Drosophila melanogaster: one gene and its partners. The gene in region 4 interacts genetically with the main gene of each other region. Each region holds a gene or a part of one and is shown on either strand. Other genes may lie near its edges. The genes, in order: park, dve, Pink1 and Trap1.

Region 1 (4,510 bases), on a different chromosome or scaffold from region 4:
TTCTCTCTTTCAGAGGGAGCACGGAGTGACCAAGTTGGCCATTCCCAGACTTGGATGCGGCATCGACCGTTTGGATTGGTTGCGCGTGCGGAGTCTGCTGGATCTGGTTTTCGCCGAGGATAGCGTGGACATAATTGCATTCTTCTACACACCGCCACAAATGGTTAAGGACACGTTGAACGTGGTTTGTCCCACCTGCCGGCACATGAAGACCATCCATTTGCCATCGAGGTCCGTTAGTGGATCAAGAAATTCGCTTCATCGCGAAAAGACTCCCTTTTAATGTATATAGCCATCTTTGTTTGACACTCGAAATGGTTTTGCTTGGGACTTGTGGCATCATATGCACCAAATACTTATATAGTTGATAAGAACGATACACCTAAGAGGTTTTTATAGCACACAAAGTTTCCATATTTGGTTATTTATACTGTATTTAATGTATTAATAAATAAAACACGTCCTCGAGAGGATATTAACCAAAGATTGGAGTTTTGATAAATACATATATATACCCTTACGAACCATTATCTAGTGTTATCGTATGACCAAAAATTAATCTAGTAGCTGCCTGTTACACTAAGTCAGACAGATCTAAAACCCTTATTTAAACTAAATGTATTCTCCCAAACTTCTAGAACTACGTAGCGCATTTCGGCGAGCTTTTGTAGTCGGAATGTCATCCAAACCTCAGTACACCCTAAGCGAAGTGGATGGGGATCTGTTTTCCGCCCCCAAGACCTATTCCTTGGCGCACTGTGTGGGCGCAGATCTTGCGATGGGTGCTGGAATTGCCGTGCAGTTCAAGAAGGTATTCGGAAGGTTGGACGAGCTGCAAGCCCAACAAGCGGGCAGTGGAGATATTGCGGTGCTGAAGGATGACCAGCGGTACATTTACTACCTAGTAACCAAGCCTCAGAGCTGGGGAAAGCCCACCTACGAATCTGTACAAGCATCTTTGGAGCAGATGCGTGAGCATATGGTAAATACATGCCTGATACATATCTTTTATGAATGGAATGTATCCCTGCTTTTATTTATTATATATATAAAGCTTAGACAAGTTATATTAATAAGAGCTACATTTTATTATTCCTACATTAGCGCAAAAACAACGTGAATAAGCTGGCCATCCCAAAAATTGGCTGCGGAATTGATGGCTTGGAATGGGAAAAAGTCAGCGGAGTCCTCGAGTACGTTTTTGGCCAAGAGCCGCTGGAGATTGTTGTCTACAATTTTGTGCCTCCACAGGGAAAATAATGGATCGTTTAGTTTAATATGAGCCATTTACTTCATAGCAACATAATTATAAACGACCAGCTCAACAGAATCCGCTTGAAAAACCTGGCAAATTATTTCCTTAACTTTGGGCCAGTTTAGGCCATCCAAACCGCATCCAATGCGGGGCATGGCTAGCTTGGGTACTTGGTGGGAGATCTGCAAATGGTAGAAAGATTCGTATATCATAACTTCTTATAGAAGATACATAAACATACCATGTGTTTTCGCATGGCGATCAAGGAACTCTGGAGAAGTTCGTAGGTGGGCTTTCCCCAGCTGGATTTCTTGGTGATCAGATAGTAAATAAATCGCTGCTGGTCCTGAAGGACAGCCACGCCGCCTGGCTGAACATTTTGTCTCTGCAAATTCAACAACTGTCCAAATTTGTTTCTGGAAAATAGGCAAATTTACCATTTTATTAAAAACACTAAGCCATTACCTACCGAAACTTTACAGCTATGCCTCTGCCCATTCGCAAATCGGCAGCCACGCAGTGGCACATGGAATAATCCCTTTGGCATTTGAATAGGTCGCCATTGATCTCTCTGTAAGTTAGTCCTGACATTTCCATAAAACTTTTACATTTATACTCCTCCGACTTCTTCACAAAAATTGTTTTCAATTGTGCGCTTTCTGCGTGTCCACGTTTTCCTCCGAATGGCTGCCAGCTGGTGTTTGGCAACGCGTAAGTAAACAACGATTGGCAACACTGAAGCATATACACTGCACTAAAATTAAACCCGATCAGCTGATAACAAATGAGTTTTATTTTTAAATTTATTGCCACTTTTGTACGCAAAATGCTGGAGCTGTTGCAATTTGGAGGGAAAACCCTTACGCACACGCTGAGTATTTATGTAAAAACGAACACGGGCAAAACGCTGACCGTTAATCTGGAGCCCCAGTGGGATATTAAAAACGTAAAGGAACTGGTGGCACCACAATTGGGACTTCAGCCGGATGATCTAAAGATCATATTTGCCGGTAAGGAACTAAGCGATGCCACGACAATAGAGGTAAGAAGTTTCTTTAATGTATCCGCTACATGAAGTTAACTTTTACTGTCTTCTAGTAGCAATGTGACTTGGGTCAGCAAAGCGTTTTGCATGCCATTCGTTTGCGACCGCCCGTGCAGCGCCAGAAAATCCAGTCGGCCACTTTGGAGGAGGAGGAACCTTCGCTTAGCGATGAAGCCTCCAAGCCTCTAAATGAAACTCTGTTGGACTTGCAGCTGGAAAGCGAGGAGCGTCTGAATATAACCGATGAAGGTAGGCAACAATTAGTTTTTATTGTTTTTTTTTTTTTTAACGAAACCCCTTGTAATCCCGTCGTATCCTCTCCAGAAAGAGTCCGTGCCAAAGCGCATTTCTTTGTACATTGCAGCCAATGCGATAAGCTGTGTAATGGCAAACTTCGGGTCCGCTGCGCTTTATGCAAGGGCGGCGCCTTTACTGTCCATCGTGATCCGGAGTGTTGGGATGATGTCTTGAAGTCGCGTAGAATTCCCGGTCATTGTGAAAGTCTGGAGGTGGCCTGCGTGGACAACGCGGCTGGCGATCCGCCCTTCGCTGAATTCTTCTTCAAGTGTGCTGAGCATGTCTCCGGCGGGGAGAAGGATTTTGCGGCTCCATTGAATCTAATCAAGAATAACATCAAGAATGTTCCTTGCCTGGCCTGCACGGATGTGAGGTGATTATGCAATAAGGAACATCTTAATTTCTTATAATTTTCATATCATCGAAAATGTCATAAAAAGTTCTTTTAAAGTCTTTAAAGTAATTATTTGTCATATAATTTTATTCTGCTATAATCACCTTATTATGTTCGCAGTGATACCGTGTTGGTTTTCCCCTGCGCATCGCAGCACGTCACCTGTATCGACTGCTTCCGCCATTATTGCCGTTCCCGTTTGGGCGAGCGTCAGTTTATGCCGCATCCGGACTTCGGCTACACCTTGCCCTGTCCCGCAGGCTGCGAGCACTCGTTCATCGAGGAGATTCATCACTTCAAGCTGTTGACACGCGAGGAGTACGATCGGTACCAGAGATTCGCCACCGAGGAGTATGTCCTACAGGCAGGTGGAGTACTCTGCCCCCAGCCAGGATGCGGCATGGGCCTTTTGGTGGAGCCCGATTGTCGCAAGGTGACATGCCAGAACGGCTGTGGATACGTGTTCTGCCGCAATTGTCTGCAGGGCTACCATATCGGGGAGTGTCTGCCCGAGGGGACGGGCGCCAGTGCCACAAACTCCTGCGAGTACACCGTGGACCCAAATGTGAGTTGGCTCTTATACGGCCCATTCCCGCTTGTGTAATCATGTGCTTTTTTAGCGAGCTGCCGAGGCGCGATGGGATGAGGCCAGCAATGTCACCATCAAAGTCAGCACAAAGCCCTGTCCAAAATGCAGAACCCCCACGGAGCGAGATGGTGAGTTGGGCGAGCATCGAAGACACCCAAGACGCAGTTTGTAACACATCCATACCGTCTTCTTCTCTTCCTACCAGGCGGTTGCATGCACATGGTCTGCACACGCGCTGGCTGCGGATTCGAGTGGTGCTGGGTCTGCCAGACTGAGTGGACACGCGACTGCATGGGAGCCCACTGGTTCGGCTAATCCTTCGTCATCGTTGTACGTCGGCCCGACGGGTCCTTTTTGTTTGTTGACTACTTTTAAATTGTATACCATAGTAAAGACTGCTCGAACAACACCCTGTTTGTCGTCTACGCAATCAATAGCAGAAACACCCCTGACAAGGACCAACGCGAATCACATCCTACCCCACTCTGTTCCTTTGTTGCGTGCGCACAAAAACTTTGTTTACGTTTTTTTTTAAGCTCGCCCACAAATATTTTGAGGGCTTTCCTCTTCGGCCAGGCATGCGAAAACCGCAACAAACACGTGCATTTGGCCAAACAGCCAGAGAGCGAGTGCCGCGAATGCGCAGTGGGTGGTCAGCGGCACAAGGTTCATGTGATTTCAACCCAGGCGCGTAGCCGCAAGGGGACTAATAATTGATTGGGGGATGGTAAAGGCATTTCAAAAATGTTCCTGGATTTTCAAAAGTACTAACTACTATTCTTGCTAAAGAGAGAAAACACAAAAGAGAAAATTATTAAGAAACTGAAACTTAAATTTTGGCCGTTAATACGTAAAATTAAATATTTCACTTTAATACAGTTTTATAATTCATATGTGCAACCGCCCTAGGACACATCTGTAAATCAATAG
Region 2 (4,680 bases), about 16 Mb from region 4:
GAAGTCAGGAGGCGGCGGCCACAACAACAACAACAGGGCCACAAAGATGACAAACAGTTTGGACATTTATGAGCGGCATTTAATGGACATTTGACTACCGGAATTTAACGAAACCGAAAACGTGGGAAGGCAGACGGGGAAGCCGACAGAGGGGCAGACGGGCAGGGCCAGAAGAAAGGGCGAAGAATGCATTTGATTGGAGCTGCGATTCGATGCGCGGCCGGATTAACCCCGATTACCATTAGTCTTGGTGCGAGAGATCGCTGGGGAAAACGAGGCAGAGGTAATGAAACGACTATTCGATGATCACGAGCACGGTGAGCAGGAAGCAGCGGCGAAGAAGATTTCAATTAATAAATATTCCATTATCTGACTCCTAAGGCTGTCCCCGCCCATCCCCCATTCACAAACGACTAACACTTTCAGATTAGACAAAATCGAACCATTTATAATTTATAAGACGGCCTATCTGGCTGCTCAAAAGGCGGCCAGGTGATCTAACCGGGTGTGAAGAGACGGCATTATCTGTTGGCCGCGTTCGATTTCGATATTACGCCCTTAGAAAAACCCCGAAATGAAATTATCACAACAATAAAGCTAAATGCTTTATAATTAGTTTGGCCGGGCCAACAAAAAATTCGACTCACACTCGCACAATATGATTTGCCATAGTTTTGAAAGAATTCACATTTATTTATGCCCCTTCTGACCATTCTGGTTTATTATCTGACTCTCGAGCAACTTACGCCGTCTTATCTTAATCCCATTCACTAAGCATATGCGTCGACACATAAAACTGTCAAAAAATAAAAAAGAAAACGAATGGTTCTAAAGCCGAAGTTTCGAATGCTCTAGCCTAGATCGATTCTGATCTAATCGATATAAAATTTTTCAAAACTATTGCATCATCACATTCGTCGTAGCAAACTTAGAGGAAGTTACATTTATCGGAAACATGCAAAGATTTTGCAATTACCATTGCCACGTGGACGTACATAGAACAAAAAACAATCCCTGTGGACCTATTTAAATTGCTGGAAGCACTGCTAGGTTCTACAAATATGGTAATCTCAATCGATCTCTTAAAAAAATGTAAGTATTCCCAATGGCTAGGGTATACGAAATAACTCTAAGCTGTTTGTTTTCGAAGCCATCACAGATTTGGCCAGTACAATAACTCTTGTGGCATGATTTCGGCTTAAAGACAATGACGGTGGGTCCCTCGCGAGATTGGGATTTTTTAAATATACAACATAGAGATGTTTTCGAAACCGATTGGAAATAAAATTCATAAATTCTTGGATTAGTCACCCCCCGTTTTCGGCGTTTGGGTAACCGATTCCAATGGGTTGAGCGCCAAAGGCAGAAGTCATACCGCAGAGCCAGATAAATAATAATTACACTCACACAACATAATCAATTATGTCTGCTAATAAACCACACACACACATGCAGGCACACACCCAGATATCTGGACATGTGTATGAGTGATCCCCCACTTTTTCCAGAGAGGGAGTTGGGCTGGACTAATCACGCCAGCATGTTCATAATCAATTTTATCGCACTTATTTGGATTAATTGCGATATCAGTGACAGGGGCGTTCGATTCTGATAAAAATAAGAGCGGCGCGCACAGAGATGACGCGACATGCACTCTATGAGCTGGGGGCGCTAACGCTCCCCACCGCCAGTATCCCCACCCCGTTAGCCACATTCGATATCTAAGTTCGTCATCGCCTTATGCCGAATTTACCAGCGTTTGACAAAATTACCGTCGGGATTATCTTATCTGGCTGGCAAAAGCTCTGGCGGAGAACCCAGAACTCGGAACTTAGCCCCAGTTCCCAGTTTTCCCCTTTGGGGATCGGCTTTACAATGCAATTAGTGGGCACACCGAACGGGGAAAGGTAAACAGTTGGGTGCGGGGTGCTGGCGGACTTATCGCAGCACCGATCTCGAAAATCTCAGCCGATAAGGATTATCTTAATCTGCATAAATAGCGAAACGAGCGCATATCTACACGGCCCTTATCACTACAGCTTGGCCATATGTCGTTTGGCCGATTTTGTTTGCACTCAACTGATTCATTTGGCAATGGGAGGGCTGTAAAAGTGGGGGATAGCCAGGGTATCTGACTAATGGCTGTGTGAAGTGCCGCCGGCAAAGCGATCTCGCCGTGCGATGATGAAATTTCTCCGTATGACGAAATCTTCGTGATGCGGATGATATCTCTGCAAATTTGAAGGCTCAACTCACCTGCTGACCGGCATTGGCTGCCACCCAGGCTTCGGCAAAGGTTTCCATGGCGCTCTGGAAGTCCATCTCGCTGGCGATTCAAAGTTCTAATCACTGAGTCTGCAGTTCACGTATTTTATTTATGGCCAGATGCAGGCGCTTTGGCATTAATTGCAATTTGGATGGTTCGCTGTGATTTTTGTTTGATTGCAATTTGTCACCGCGATAAGGGGAGCTCGATTTCGAATTCGATCGGGGGAAGGTGTATTTCTTGATTCGATTTGATTTGATTTAATTTGATGTGATTTTTCTATTTATTTCTTATTTGAGTAGCGCGGATACGCAAATTAGACACAGGCACACACACGCGCGCAACCGCACACACGCTCAGGTGAAACGCGCGTTTCCTTCGTGGAACGGATTCGATGACTCTAGTTCCAGATGCTGCACTTCCAATTGCTCCAGGGGCTCTTCTTGCTGTTGTTGTTGCTGTTGGGGGCGACGCGACATCATTAGTGCCATGAAATCGGGAGCTGATCGCGTCACTGCGTCACCAGGATTGGCAGCGTATCGAATTTGGCGAATGCGACAATCGCAAATCCAGCCAACCGTTGAGGTTGAGGCGTTCAGGCTGTCTGGCTGTCCGCCTGTCTGGTTTCTCCGGCAGATGGCGTGCCGAATCCTTGGGCTCCTGCTCCTGACTGACTGATCTGGCTCTCTGGACTCTCTTCGCAGGGTATCGCAGGGTGTTAGTAAGCGGACGCGCGTCAAGACATCCTCTCTTGGCCAAAGTTGTCGCACAACTGACGGCATTCCTTCGCCTTCGCACATTCGCCGGTGTGCCGGTGCTCGGTGTTTGGCATTCGGTCTCTTTCGGCCGACGGTCTTCGGTCTCGTTCTCGCCCTCCCCCAGCCAGCACCCACCCCCCTTTCAACCGTGGTCCTCTCACGCGGCTCCATTTGCCGCCAGTCCATGTGTACTGGTGTGTGAGTCAAAGAGACAACGACCGCGCTCTCCCACTTGTATTTGTATTTGTGTGAGTGGGGAGAGAGAACGTAACAAAAAGTAGTAGGCTCTGAAAAGGTAGTAAAACTATGAGTTAGCTGAGCTCTTATGAATGGGGCTCTAATTAAAAGGATTAGATTAAAATCAATATATTTATTATATTAAATATAACGAAAGGAAAAATATAAATGCTGTAAATTTTATATTTGTTATAAGAGTAACCCACTTTGCTTAGAATAAGAACAAGTGGCGCTTTTCTTAGTAAATTAAAAATAAAAAATGTTAAAAAGACCACCAAATTTTAGAAAGCTAAATTTACTTTATATGTCACGTTATTTTCTTCAAAATGTAAATTTCTTTAGAACTGATAAGAATTTTTGCTTACCAACACTTTCCCACAGTATCATCTTGTTAAAATATTGAAATGATGCCAAAGCGTAGTAGAAATACTGCGAAATTTCGTTCTGGTTAGCGAGGCAAACAAACAGCTCTGCGTGTGTGCGTCAGTGAGTGACCAAAACAAAGCACACGCACAGGGACAGAGAGAGAAAAGAGAGTAGCTATGCAGAGAGCGACTTTCTCTCACACACACACAGGAACAGTGGGTAAACCTGTTCCGGCGCACAATTGCACTTGTCGTCGCCGCAGCCTTCGCCCAACCCGCCTAAAACCCCCTCCCCCGACAAACACTTGCTCATTCGGCTGCGCGTTTTCTTTTATTTTTTGTGCGCTGTGGCGAAACTGAATGGATTTGCTGCAAATTCGGGTGGAATTATGCCGCACACACACAGCCACATATCCCTACACCGTGTAGAGTGGGCGTGGGCGTGAACTACGACGGTGCGGGTGCGAGCAGTGCGGCAATAGGTTCGGGCATTCGGGATGAAAGAGTAAATCGGCATTGCTTATTCCTCTCGATGGGCGGTGGGTGGTCGGGGGGCTACACCCACTCGGCATTTAGCACCTCCGTGAATGGCGACGGCCTTCGTTGAGGATTCGTGAGTTCACGGCACGAAGTGGATTTCGCCGAGGGGCGGGATGGGTGGTGCCCCCGGAAAATAAGAGATAAGAGCGCAGATAATGCGCGCGCATTACATGTGATTAGGTGTCCGGGCTGCAGGATTTAGCCAACCGCGTCCAAGTATATGGTAAATAGGATTTCTATGTAGCAGCACTAGTAGGAGAAACACTGCGCCGAGAAAAAGATGGAAATAGGGTGGAGTTACAGTGGGCTTGGTAATTAGTACAGGATTTCATATCCGTTTTCAGAAAACTCAACCGAAAAAAGACTGCCTCTTTTTCTCTTATAGTTTCTAAAAAACAACTATAATTATTTATACAAATTAAATAACTGCTATATACCAAAACATAAAAATACATAAAAATCCTTGATCTGGATATGTTTATCCCACGATATCCTCAGTTTTCATCCAGTTCCT
Region 3 (5,814 bases), on a different chromosome or scaffold from region 4:
CTGGCCTGAGTTTACTGGGCGCCTATGAGGAGCATAAGAGCATCTGCTACGGGGCCGATTGGGCACCATGGAGAAACAAGGACGATGCGTCCTTGACCATGGCCACTTGCTCCTTTTATGATCACACGTTGTGTGTGAGTCGCGTGGATATTAACAAATGAATTCGATATCTGTATATTATGTTATGTGACTAAAAACTAAAAGAAAAATAAACATTTGCTGGCTTATGTTTTTCAACTATCTATAGTTTGTATAATAGTTTGCGGAAAAAACAGAATTGTTCATGGCATTTGGGATATCCTAAGTTTTCCAAAACTAATTTTAAACTGCCAACATCCCTGGCAGGCGATATCGATAACGCATGCAATCGGCTCAGCCCTGGTGCGGTTATCGTAAGTTCTGTCAGCGCATTTTCATTCGAAGTTTGCGAATTCAGAGAAGTGAATGAACTTGAACTGTTTAGTTATGGTAAGTACTAAACGTAGAGATCCTGCTAACTTTATAAACTCCTCATTCTACTCCGCACAGCATCCCCCACAAAATCCAAACAAGTTGGACGCCGAGGATAGCCTGGATCAGGCTATAGACAACATCGAAGACTCAAACGAGGCCAATCTCTATAAGCTTATCGAGCTGGAGGAGCAGAATGTGGCCTGGGAGAAACATCTTGCGGAACTCCAAATTATGATCAGGCAGGTGATGGAAAAGCTCGACAGGAGTTTGGTCAAACAGGAGGCGCTGGTGGCGAAAATGCAGAAGCTGAAGAATCAGAAAGATCAGGAGGGTCAATAATTATTGTACCGGAGGCGTGCTTTTGGCGTTAATTTTGATTTCATTTATAAATACATATGTAAAATATAGGTATCACACGCTTTTCCATTTGATTTTCTCAGAGTAACAAGTAGAAGGCTTTTCTCCTACGCCACCACATTCTGGATCCAGTTGAGGGCGCCGCGAATGCGACGCAGCCGGGCGCGTGCCAGAAAGCTGCATATGAGCAGGTACTCCACATAGGCGCGCCTATTGCCACAGCTGGCCACTGGCATCAATCCGGCGCCCATCTGTGGACGACCCTCGCACATAATCTTAGTGGTCAGCGAAAGGAGCCACTGTAGGATCTGTAAAAAAAAATCATAATTAGCTTAAAAGGATGCTGATGTGGTATCAAACACTGCGACCCACCTCCGGACTGTTGGGCATGCCGCCCGCCTTAAGCCAATTGGATGGGGCCCAGAGGAACAGCTGCACCACATTTGCCGCAATATCCGGACTGACCCGCTTGGACGGGTTGGGATTGAGGATGTTGTAGACCAGCTGTTGCAGCAGCGGCGGGCAAGCATCGCTCATTGGCGGCAATTGGTCCTGTCGGTAATCGCTGTTCCTCAGCGAAAGCGTCATCTCACCGCGTTCGCGCGCCATCCCACCGCTGCTCGAATAGAACGGATTGCGGTTGCCAAAGATTTCGTAAGCCAGGGCACCGCAAGCCCACAGATCGGCCTTGCCATAATTGAGTACGGCAAACGGACCGGGCATCGTATTGAAGATCTCTGGCGCCATCAACGCCGCATTGCCGCCCTTGTCGACGTCGTGCGAAACGTACGGCAGGCGCAGGCCATGCACCTTGTCCGCCAGACAACAGCCAAAGTCGGAGAGCACTAGCACCGGCGCCGCATCGTCCTGCAGCTCGATTAGCACATTATCAGACTTTAGGTCACGATGGGCAACGCCGTGACGGCTCAAATGGTTGACAGCCTCGAGCATTTGAGCCAGCAGCAGGATGCGATTGCGCGTGCTCAGATCCTGGCTATCGAGCAGGCCGCGAAGACTGTGATCGTAGCGTTTCATCAGCAGATACAGCGACATATTGCGGCCATAGCCCTGTGGATTGATGCGTTGCGGCTGCGCCACCGGATACAGGAGATGGCCATCGGGAAAGTTGCGCACCTCGTCGCAAAAGAAGCCAAACATACAGACAATGTTCGGATGCCGCGGCAGGTGAACAGTTTGATTCTGCAGCAAACGTTCCCACTCATCGGCGGCCTCATTCATGCCGCGCTGGCGTGCCGGTACCGTCTCCTTGTACATGGCACGCAGTATGGACAGAGCGTTGCTCTGGATGTCGTAGTTGAACATCATTTTGAGTGCCAGTGGATAACTGTCCACAGAGCTGTTGATGTTTGAATTCGCTGGAGAAGTCTGCAAGTTAAAGCAAAGAGCGTGATGGCAAGTTGCCATGCAGATTTAAGCTTACATATTTACCACATTGAAGGCACTGCTGCTGGGCTCCTGGTTCTGATGCTGCTCTTGTTCCTGATTCTGATGCTGCTGTTGCTCGTGGTGCCGCTGGTCCTGTTCCCTCGACTGGGCGCCCACGAAATCACTGGCCGCAGATGGCTGGCTGTAGTGGAAGACGTTGTCCACAGAGCCGCCAAAGTTGTGAACAAAGCGCGACATGTTCTGCAGCGGCGACATCATCTCGTGGGTACTCCAGCTATTCGGCGCAAAGGCTGGCGTTGCCTGCGGCTGCGCATCGGTATGCAGGGATGCACCATCCGAGGCAACATCTTTCTTGAAATCCGCTGCATAGACGACAGCGGCACAACCTTTGGCTATGGGCGGACCGATTTCCAAGTCATCGATGGTGAACTTGCTGTCTAGCGTATCGGAGATCTCGTCGTGATTCCAGGCGTTCTGCAGCCGGCTAGCTGCCTCCCGAATCTCCCAGCACACGCCCTCCAGTTCATCCTCCTTGCTGAGCACACCCGATCCGGAGGCCAGACTAACGCCAATCAGGGCGAAGAAGGGCGCTGAATCGCCAAAGAATAGCTTGCGGGTAGCGCGCTGGCGCAGATCCTCCGAGTAGGTGGTGGTCACCCGGCTGAGGATGTTGTCGATGAACAATTTGCGCGCATGCTGGCCCACTCGGAAGATTCCACTGCTGCTGGTGGGGCTACTGCCGCTGCCATTAAACGGTGATCCCGACGGGGAGTTGATGGTGCGGGGCACTACATTGACCACCGATTTGGCCGCCTGCTGGGGCGTTGTCTGGCGAAGAGATTGGATGCGGGTTAATTGGACATGCCTTGATCATCCGTTTAGCTTGACTTACCCGCAGCACATTGGCAGCGGTGGAGGGTAGGGGAAAGCCTCGCTTGCTTCTTGTCTTCAATTGATTCTGGTCCAAAATGTTGGCGTGTATATCACGTTTACAATAGCTGCGCAAAATGTAGCGACCATGTTTGATCAGTCGCACGGTCAGCAGTCTCACAGACATCTTTCGGCCCGCAAAGACCTCGGCTCCTAGTGCCTGCAACTGAATGAAGCACCTTAAACGGTCTGTCATCTATTAATTTAATTTTTAATTTTTACCTATTCTTTAAGATTTGTGGTGCTTAACTCTTGCTGCTGCTTCCTCTTCTTCTCCGCCAATTTTGCTCATGTGTGCGATCGATAGCGCCGATTTATAACCAAACAGCTGCTGTCGTTTCGTTTCGGTTCGGTTCGTTTCGATTCGATTGTTTTGTTTTTGCGTCGCAAATAAATTTTCTGTTTGTGGGTGGTGGTGGTTGTGGTGCAGCTGCGGGGCGAAGTGTGGGGGCGGTGGTGGCAGAACTACAAGGCGAAATCGTCGAATCGAAAGGGTTTATTTTTGCAATGATTATCCAAAGATATATCGCCTTTTTCGATATCTGTGTGGGCTAGACTGATTTTGGGCTATTTTCAACTGAACAAAACGATTAATTTACGACCTCCAACTTGCCTGGCAGCCAATTTTTAATGTAATGCGCCTACTTCAACGTTTCGTTTCGATTCGATTTGGTCGTTAGATAATCGCTGGTCAGCTGGATCTTTTCATTTGTCACGGAAAATGTGCGCCGCAATAAACACTTGTTTAAAAGCTTGCTTTGCTTATATTTCGCTATAAAATAATAGCTAAGTGTGCAAGAATTTACGATAAAAACAACGGAATAATTTAGAAACAGCAAGGCGTTAGTGTGACCACACTTACGGTATATCTTTAGAATCGATAATGACTATCGCGTAGTGTGGACTCGAATCATTTGGAGAATTCAAAAACTAAAAACCGTTATTCACCTGCCGTAAAATCAACAAATTAATACAATCTATTGAAATATCCTGCTACACACAAAAATTTATTACACGAAACTAAAACAAAATCGTCAATAGCCGCACAGCGAATCACTTCGGTCCCAGCATCTCCTTGGGATTGACCCACTCCTTGAACTGCTCTTCGGTAATTCCGGTCTTCAGTGCCTCCTCCTTCAAGGTCGTCTTATTCTTGTGCGCCGTCTTGGCGATCAGGGCGGCCTTGTCATAGCCAATGTGCGGATTCAGCGCGGTCACCAGCATCAAGGACTCGTTCATGATCTTGTCGATCCTCTCCTTGTTGGCCTGCAGTCCCTCCACGCAGTTCTTGCTGAAGGTCATGCTGCCATCAGCTGGGAGGAGAAGGTTATGTATGCATGTTTTTCCACTTGGAAAACACATTTCCGACTCACCCAACAAGCGAATGGAGCGCAGCACATTGGACACGACCAGGGGTTTGAATACATTTAGCTCGAAGTGCCCGTTGGAGCCGCCGATGGTCACCGCCACCTGATTGCCCATCACCTGGGCACACAGCATGGTCATTGATTCGCATTGCGTGGGATTCACCTTGCCGGGCATGATGGAGCTACCGGGCTCGTTCTCCGGCAGCATTAGTTCGCCCAGACCGCAACGCGGACCCGATCCCAGCAATCGGATATCGTTGGCGATCTTCATCAGGCTGACGGCGATCGTGTTGAGCACACCATGCACCTCCACCATGGCATCGCGGGCAGCCAGTGCCTCGAACTTGTTGGGCGCCGACACGAAGGGCAAGCAGGTTAGCTCCGAAATGCGCTTGGCCACCTTCTCGGCGAATCCCTTGCGTGTGTTCAGACCCGTACCCACAGCAGTGCCGCCCAGAGCCAGCTCATAGACGCGCGGCAGACAGCCCTTGATCCTTTCCAGACCGTTGGTCAACTGCTGTGTATAACCGCTGAATTCCTGGCCCAAAGTCAGCGGAACTGCGTCCATCAAGTGGGTGCGTCCGATCTTGATGATGTCCTTGAACTCATCCGACTTGGACTTGAGGGCATCCCTCAAGTGTGTAACCGCCGGAACAAGCCGCTCGTTCAGCTCCATGCCCACCGAAATGTGAATGGCCGTGGGGAAGGTGTCGTTGGAGCTCTGCGACTTGTTCACATGATCGTTGGGATGCACCGGCTTCTTGCTGCCCAGTTCGCCGCCCATCATCTTAATGGCCGCATTGCTGATCACCTAGTAGGTTTGCCAATGGCATGGGGCAGGAGAAGCATCCAGCTATACACATTTCTCTCGTTAGCCCTATCTAACAATCTTACCTCGTTGGTGTTCATATTGGTCTGGGTGCCCGAACCGGTTTGCCAGATGACCAATGGGAAGTGACCCTGTTTGTATAGCTTGCCGGAAATGACATCGTCGCAGGCGCAGGATACGGCATCCGACACCTTGCCATCTAGTCCGTAATCCTTGTTGACCTCGGCACATGCCTTCTTCAGTATGCCCATGGCCTGGATCACCGGCATCTGCGGGCAGTTTGGGGATTAATTGGCTATGGCAAAGCACTTGGTAGATGCCAGAATATGTTGGTTGGTTGGTTGGTTGCCTACCGGCATACGTTCGCCTATGTCGCCAATGGGAAAATTCAATTTGGAGCGCATCGTCTGTGCGCCGTACAGCTTGTCCGCCGGCACCTTTAGCTCCCCGAAGGTGTCCTTCTCCGTACGA
Region 4 (4,880 bases):
AGTCACGGGGGCGGATTTTCGGCGATAGTTGTGCCAGCGCTGCCACCTGATGGACGTCAAAATGCACTAACAATGTTTCCACTAGAGCCAATACAATTAAAGCATTGCTTTCACACCGATTTTAAAAGGATGCACGAAATTGAAGAACATAAGCACATCAAAATTAATATTTTATTTTATATTTCTGATAGCTTGGTCAATTCGTTCATGAACTTGTATGGAAAACATCTTTTTGTACCATAGAAAAATTCAATTGCTCGAACTAAATGGGTCCCAAGAACGGTATTAGCTATTATAAAATAGCTTACAAAACGTTTTTTATAGTACGTATAATGTAACAAATTCATATTTTATTTACACTTTTTTTTAGAAATATTGGTTTCTATGGAGCTTTTGAACAAAGAATACGTTTATGCAAAAACTCTTTGTATAAAATGCCTAGTGTAAGCCCCATTATTGTGCACACACTAGGCACACAAAGTTAAAATTAAGCCCGAAAAAATTATATTCCCCTTCATTTTTGGAATTAAAATATTTAAAACGTTTAATTATACATATTTAAAACTATTTCAACACGTTTTATGAAATTAATTATAGAAATTAATATTACATAGTCGGTATATCTACACTGTTCCTTCTACGGCGCACTCTAGTATTTCTCCAGGGCCCGCGATAGCAGAGTGTTCATGTTGGTTAGCAGCATGCGGGGATCCTCAGCCAAACCGGCGCCCACCATTGCGTTTGCAAAGAGCTGCTTGGCGATAAGTTGGGCCAGATCCTTGTCGCTCTCACGGAGCTTGTTAAGCTTCTTGATGATGGGGTGCCTAAGGTAAGGAAAAATGCAAAATAAGAAAGCAACGAAAGAAACGTGAGGAGCAGGACTCACTTTGGGTTGATCTCCAGTTCTGGTTGAAGCAGGGCAAATCGATTCTGTTCTGGCACCTGGTGACTCTGGGTGCGAATGAAGTGGCGAGCGGCAGCCATTTCCTCTACGGTGATTACACAGGGATGGGTGTCTAGACGAGTGGTGGCTTTTACTTTAATAACCTGCCCCCTGAGCTCCTCCTCCAGCCAGGGAATCAAAGTGTCGAGCTCTGAGCGCAGCAGACTGCCCTCGCCAAAGTCGGTGGTCGCTGTTGTCTCCTTGGACTCTTCGCGCATCTCCTTCTCCACGGAAACGAGTTTTTTGCTTTTGAACTTGCCCAGCTGCATGAGCACCAGCTCATCATAGGGTTCGTAGCAGAAGAGCACCAGCTCGTTGCGCTTCTTCAGACTCTCGTAGTAGGGCGAGGACTCGGCAAGAACGCGGTTGGGTGCTGCCAAGTAGTAAATATTCTGCTGTTCTGCGGGAACGGCGTTGTAGTACTCCTCCAGCGACATGCGCCCACTGGCGGTCTCCGACTTGGAGGATTCAAAACGCAGAAGTTTAGCTATTTCTTCTTTCTCGGAGGCGTCGCTGGAGGTTACAATTCCTTCCTTCAGGAAAAGCCCATAGTCCCGGTAGAAGGCCTCGTACTCTTCTGGCTGCTTCTTGGACCGCTCTTGCAGGAAACGGATAACGCGGGTGGAAATCACACTGGACAGTTTGCGAATCAGGCTGCTGTTCTGGAGCAGCTCGCGACTCAGGTTGAGTGGAATGTCCTCAGAGTCGACAACACCCTTTACAAAACGCAGCCACTTGGGCAGCAGATGCTCAGTCTTGGACTGAATAAGCACCTTGCGGGTGTAAAGAGCCACACCGGTGTTTCCGTCCCGAGACATCTCGAATAAACCAGGCTTTCCTTCGGGGAAGTAGAGCAGTGCATGGATGCTCAAGGGTACGTCAGCATTATAGTGTAAGGTGAAGCGCGGGACATCGAAGCTATTGCTAATGAACCGATAGAAGTCATGGTGCTGCTCCTTGCTGATGCTTTGTGGCTCAAGAAGCCACAGAGGCTTGATCTCATTGGCCTGCTTTCCGTTAAGCAAGATGGGTGAGCCCACAAAGTTGCTGTATTTCTTGATTACCGCCTTGATCCTCTCCTCGTCCGCATATTCACGGCAATCGGTCTTTAAATGAAGCACGATTCGCGTTCCCAACTCAACGTCAGGCACCTCTTCGATCTCGTAGGTTCCACTGCCATCCGTGGACCAACGCAGTCCGGGTGCATTAGGCACAGCCGCCCTCGTGAACACCTCCACCTTATTGGCGACAATGAAGGAAGAGTAAAAGCCCACGCCGAACTGACCAATAATGTTCGAGGATGCCTCCGAGCTGGCTCCCTGCTGGGTCCCCTTCATCTGCTCCAGGAACTTCTTCGAGCCGCTGCGTGCAATGGTGCCCAGGTTGCTGACCAGCTCCTCCTTGGTCATGCCGATGCCCGTGTCCTGGATGATTAGCTGCATCAGTGGCTTGTCGGTGGTGATACGAATCTCCAGAGGCCGGTCCTTTCCAGCCAGATTCTCGCCTCCAGCGCTCAACGAGGTGTACCGAAATTTCTCCAGCGCATCGCTTGCATTCGAAATAAGCTCGCGCACAAAGACCTCGTGGTCGGAGTATAAGGAACGAGCCACAATGTCAAGTAGCTGGCGCGTCTCTGCCTGGAACTCATGCTTGTCCACCACTGATCCTGATGCCTGCTTGGTCTCCGTGGAGTAGCGACGGAGCGAGAGAGCTGCAAGTGAAAAGATGAGTGTTATGTAAACATAAGAATCCCTCCGGGGAGCCGGTTGCTTATATTCAGTGCTTACCACCCGGCGAATGCTGCGATCCAATGGTGATATTGAACGCTGCTGGGGCGGATCGGTGACTCTGCCTCAACACTTGGGCACAGCGACCGAGGCGGCACGCCTGGCCCAGCACTCCCATCGCTCGTACAGACATCTTGTTGTTTTAATGTTTTGCCCAACTTTAATGTTACCCAACTACGAAGTTTGTTCCAGCGCACATGTGTGCACAGTGTAGCCAAATCAATCGATTGTAAGTATTCGATAATAGTAAACTGGTAAAACCCTACTCATAACGGTGTTTTCTTCCAAATTTCTGGGCTGTAATGAATTTTGGACTCAAATGCTTAGTTGGTTTGAATAAGAGTTACTACATGTAATGGAGAGTTCAGTTTCATCACATTATTCAGCTCAAAACTGAAGCAAACTGCCAGCTGACTAGTTCTCTAAAGATTTCGATCAGCAAGAGAGAGAGAGAGAGATAGAGATGTTTCAACTGTGAACAACAAACCGTAAATTCTGAAGGAATTAAGAACAGATTACGTTTCATTGTTTAGCCAATGTAGATTGGATGCTGATTTTTGAGTTATGAAATAACAAATGTCTTCAAAGAAGACAGTAAATAAAAGAAAGTTAAATCAAATCCAATATTGAAAGACATCGATACCTCATATCGATATACGGTCCAATTGCTGACAGCCCTGCTCGTGAATGCAACTCTGCTGTAGCGCGTCAGCGTCGCGTTGTAATTTTTGTTGAGTTTTTTAAATAATTTTAATTAGCATCTGCGTGTCTTACTATTAGAATATCATGTGTTAAGTGTTTCCCATTCACGCCACCACACAAAAAGATCCAATCATGAGCGCCACCACCATCGACAACGTACGGGTGCTGCTTCAGTCGCTGCCTGCTGCCGCCGTAAACAGCGCCACTCAGCCGGGCGATCTACAGACGCCGGGCAAGATTGCGGCCCCAGCGACTCCCCTTCGCGCCAAGAATCCCGCCCAATTACAGATCATGCCGGAGAAGGTCGAGGAGATGCCGCCGTCACCTCCGGAGGAGTTCTGGAGGGACCTGCAGCAGTTTCACGAACGACGCGGGTGAGTTGCCGCGGCTCTCCTGTATTTGGAGACGACCTAACCCACTTTCCCTCTGCCCAAACAGCACTCCATTGACACAGCCCGCCAGGATCAGCGGTAAGCATGTCGACCTGTACAAGCTGTACAACGAGGTAACCGAACGAGGCGGCTTTAATAAGGTGACCATGCGGGACGAGTGGGACGAGGTGTACAGCGCCATGGAGACATTGCGGGAGCGCTGCGTTAACGGAACGGCTAGTATCAAGCACATCTACAGACGCTACCTGGACAAGTACGAACGGTTGAACTTCTTTGGCGAGGATCCAGACAAGATGGAGGCTCTGGAGGCGGCTATTGAGATTGTAGAAATGGGCGGTGGACGCTCGCGATCTCGTTTTTTGGCTGGCGCCGGTGGTGGCCTAGGAAGCATTTTTGGATCAGCACACTCTACGTTGCCGGCGGTGCCAATGGCCTACAACCAGCGCCAGCACTCTGTTAATGTGGAACGACGCCGACAGTACAAGATGTCCACGCAGTTGCACCGACACAGCAGCTACGAGAAGCTGCTGTTGTCTCTGCTTTCTCCGCTGCCCAATGAGCAGGACTTCGCCATAAACGTGTGCACACTTATGGCCAACGAGGCGCGCCACACCCTACAGCTGTCCGAGTGCCCCAAACTGCTTGATGTGCTGCTTGCTCACCTGGGAGTCTACGCTGACTTCACCATGCGCCAGCTGTTCCAGCACAGTTACACCGAGGTTCGACACCATTCGCAGCTCAGTTTCTGGCGCGACCTGCTACACGACAAGCCACAGGTCCTAGAGCTCTACACGGATGAGCAGGCCTGGCTGGACAACGGTCTGATAAGTAAGGAGGACGGTGAGAACTCTGCCGCTCGAAGTGAACTGCTGGCGGCCTGCGACGAGTTGCACTTCCTTAATCTGCGCCGGAGCAACGGGACTGATGAGCGCATGGGCCAGCGAGTGCTTCAGATTGTCCAGCTAGTCCGTACACTCAGCTTTCATCAGGAGAATCATGCACTCTTGGCCTCCAACCGCACGTTGTGGCGATATTTGGTCATGGGAGCAAACGTAC

The links.
Region 1: of Trap1 (region 4) and park, changing one suppresses a phenotype caused by changing the other (phenotypic suppression), as found in Drosophila melanogaster (one study listed by BioGRID).
Region 2: of Trap1 (region 4) and dve, changing one suppresses a phenotype caused by changing the other (phenotypic suppression), as found in Drosophila melanogaster (one study listed by BioGRID).
Region 3: of Trap1 (region 4) and Pink1, changing one suppresses a phenotype caused by changing the other (phenotypic suppression), as found in Drosophila melanogaster (2 studies listed by BioGRID).

Annotation. Positions count from the first base shown.
Region 1 is NT_037436.4:21,194,232-21,198,741, reverse strand, and holds park (parkin), read left to right. Parts: upstream 1-1,888; 5' UTR 1,889-1,966; intron 1,967-1,972; exon of another isoform or gene 1,973-2,029; 5' UTR 2,030-2,039; coding exon 2,040-2,297; intron 2,298-2,356; coding exon 2,357-2,549; intron 2,550-2,605; exon of another isoform or gene 2,606-2,624; coding exon 2,625-2,970; intron 2,971-3,095; exon of another isoform or gene 3,096-3,111; coding exon 3,112-3,556; exon of another isoform or gene 3,557-3,611; coding exon 3,612-3,708; exon of another isoform or gene 3,709-3,785; coding exon 3,786-3,895; 3' UTR 3,896-3,988; downstream 3,989-4,510. Other genes in the region: Targ2 (terminal ADP-ribose protein glycohydrolase 2), read left to right, coding at 14-283; Targ1 (terminal ADP-ribose protein glycohydrolase 1), read left to right, coding at 617-982, 1,105-1,193, 1,252-1,282; Targ3 (terminal ADP-ribose protein glycohydrolase 3), read right to left, coding at 1,288-1,437, 1,497-1,671, 1,725-1,846. UniProt on the Drosophila melanogaster protein: E3 ubiquitin-protein ligase which accepts ubiquitin from E2 ubiquitin-conjugating enzymes in the form of a thioester and then directly transfers the ubiquitin to targeted substrates, such as Paris, Marf, Opa1, Miro, pnut, Septin1, Tom20 and porin.
Region 2 is NT_033778.4:22,242,324-22,247,003, reverse strand, and holds the start of dve (defective proventriculus), read right to left. Parts: upstream 3,042-4,680; 5' UTR 2,323-3,041; coding exon 2,257-2,322; intron 1-2,256.
Region 3 is NC_004354.4:6,682,017-6,687,830, reverse strand, and holds Pink1 (PTEN-induced putative kinase 1), read right to left. Parts: upstream 3,991-5,814; 5' UTR 3,761-3,990; exon of another isoform or gene 3,704-3,760; 5' UTR 3,370-3,703; intron 3,314-3,369; 5' UTR 3,275-3,313; coding exon 3,110-3,274; intron 3,046-3,109; coding exon 2,260-3,045; intron 2,197-2,259; coding exon 1,183-2,196; intron 1,119-1,182; coding exon 918-1,118; 3' UTR 793-917; downstream 1-792. Other genes in the region: CG3184 (uncharacterized protein), read left to right, coding at 1-161; CG44303 (uncharacterized protein), read left to right, coding at 466-468, 529-792; Fum2 (fumarase 2), read right to left, coding at 4,201-4,460, 4,521-5,325, 5,409-5,612, 5,697-5,814.
Region 4 is NT_033778.4:6,633,125-6,638,004, forward strand, and holds Trap1 (Trap1), read right to left. Parts: upstream 3,139-4,880; 5' UTR 2,864-3,138; coding exon 2,731-2,863; intron 2,655-2,730; coding exon 887-2,654; intron 825-886; coding exon 650-824; 3' UTR 523-649; downstream 1-522. Other genes in the region: Bap170 (brahma associated protein 170kD), read left to right, coding at 3,565-3,806, 3,871-4,880.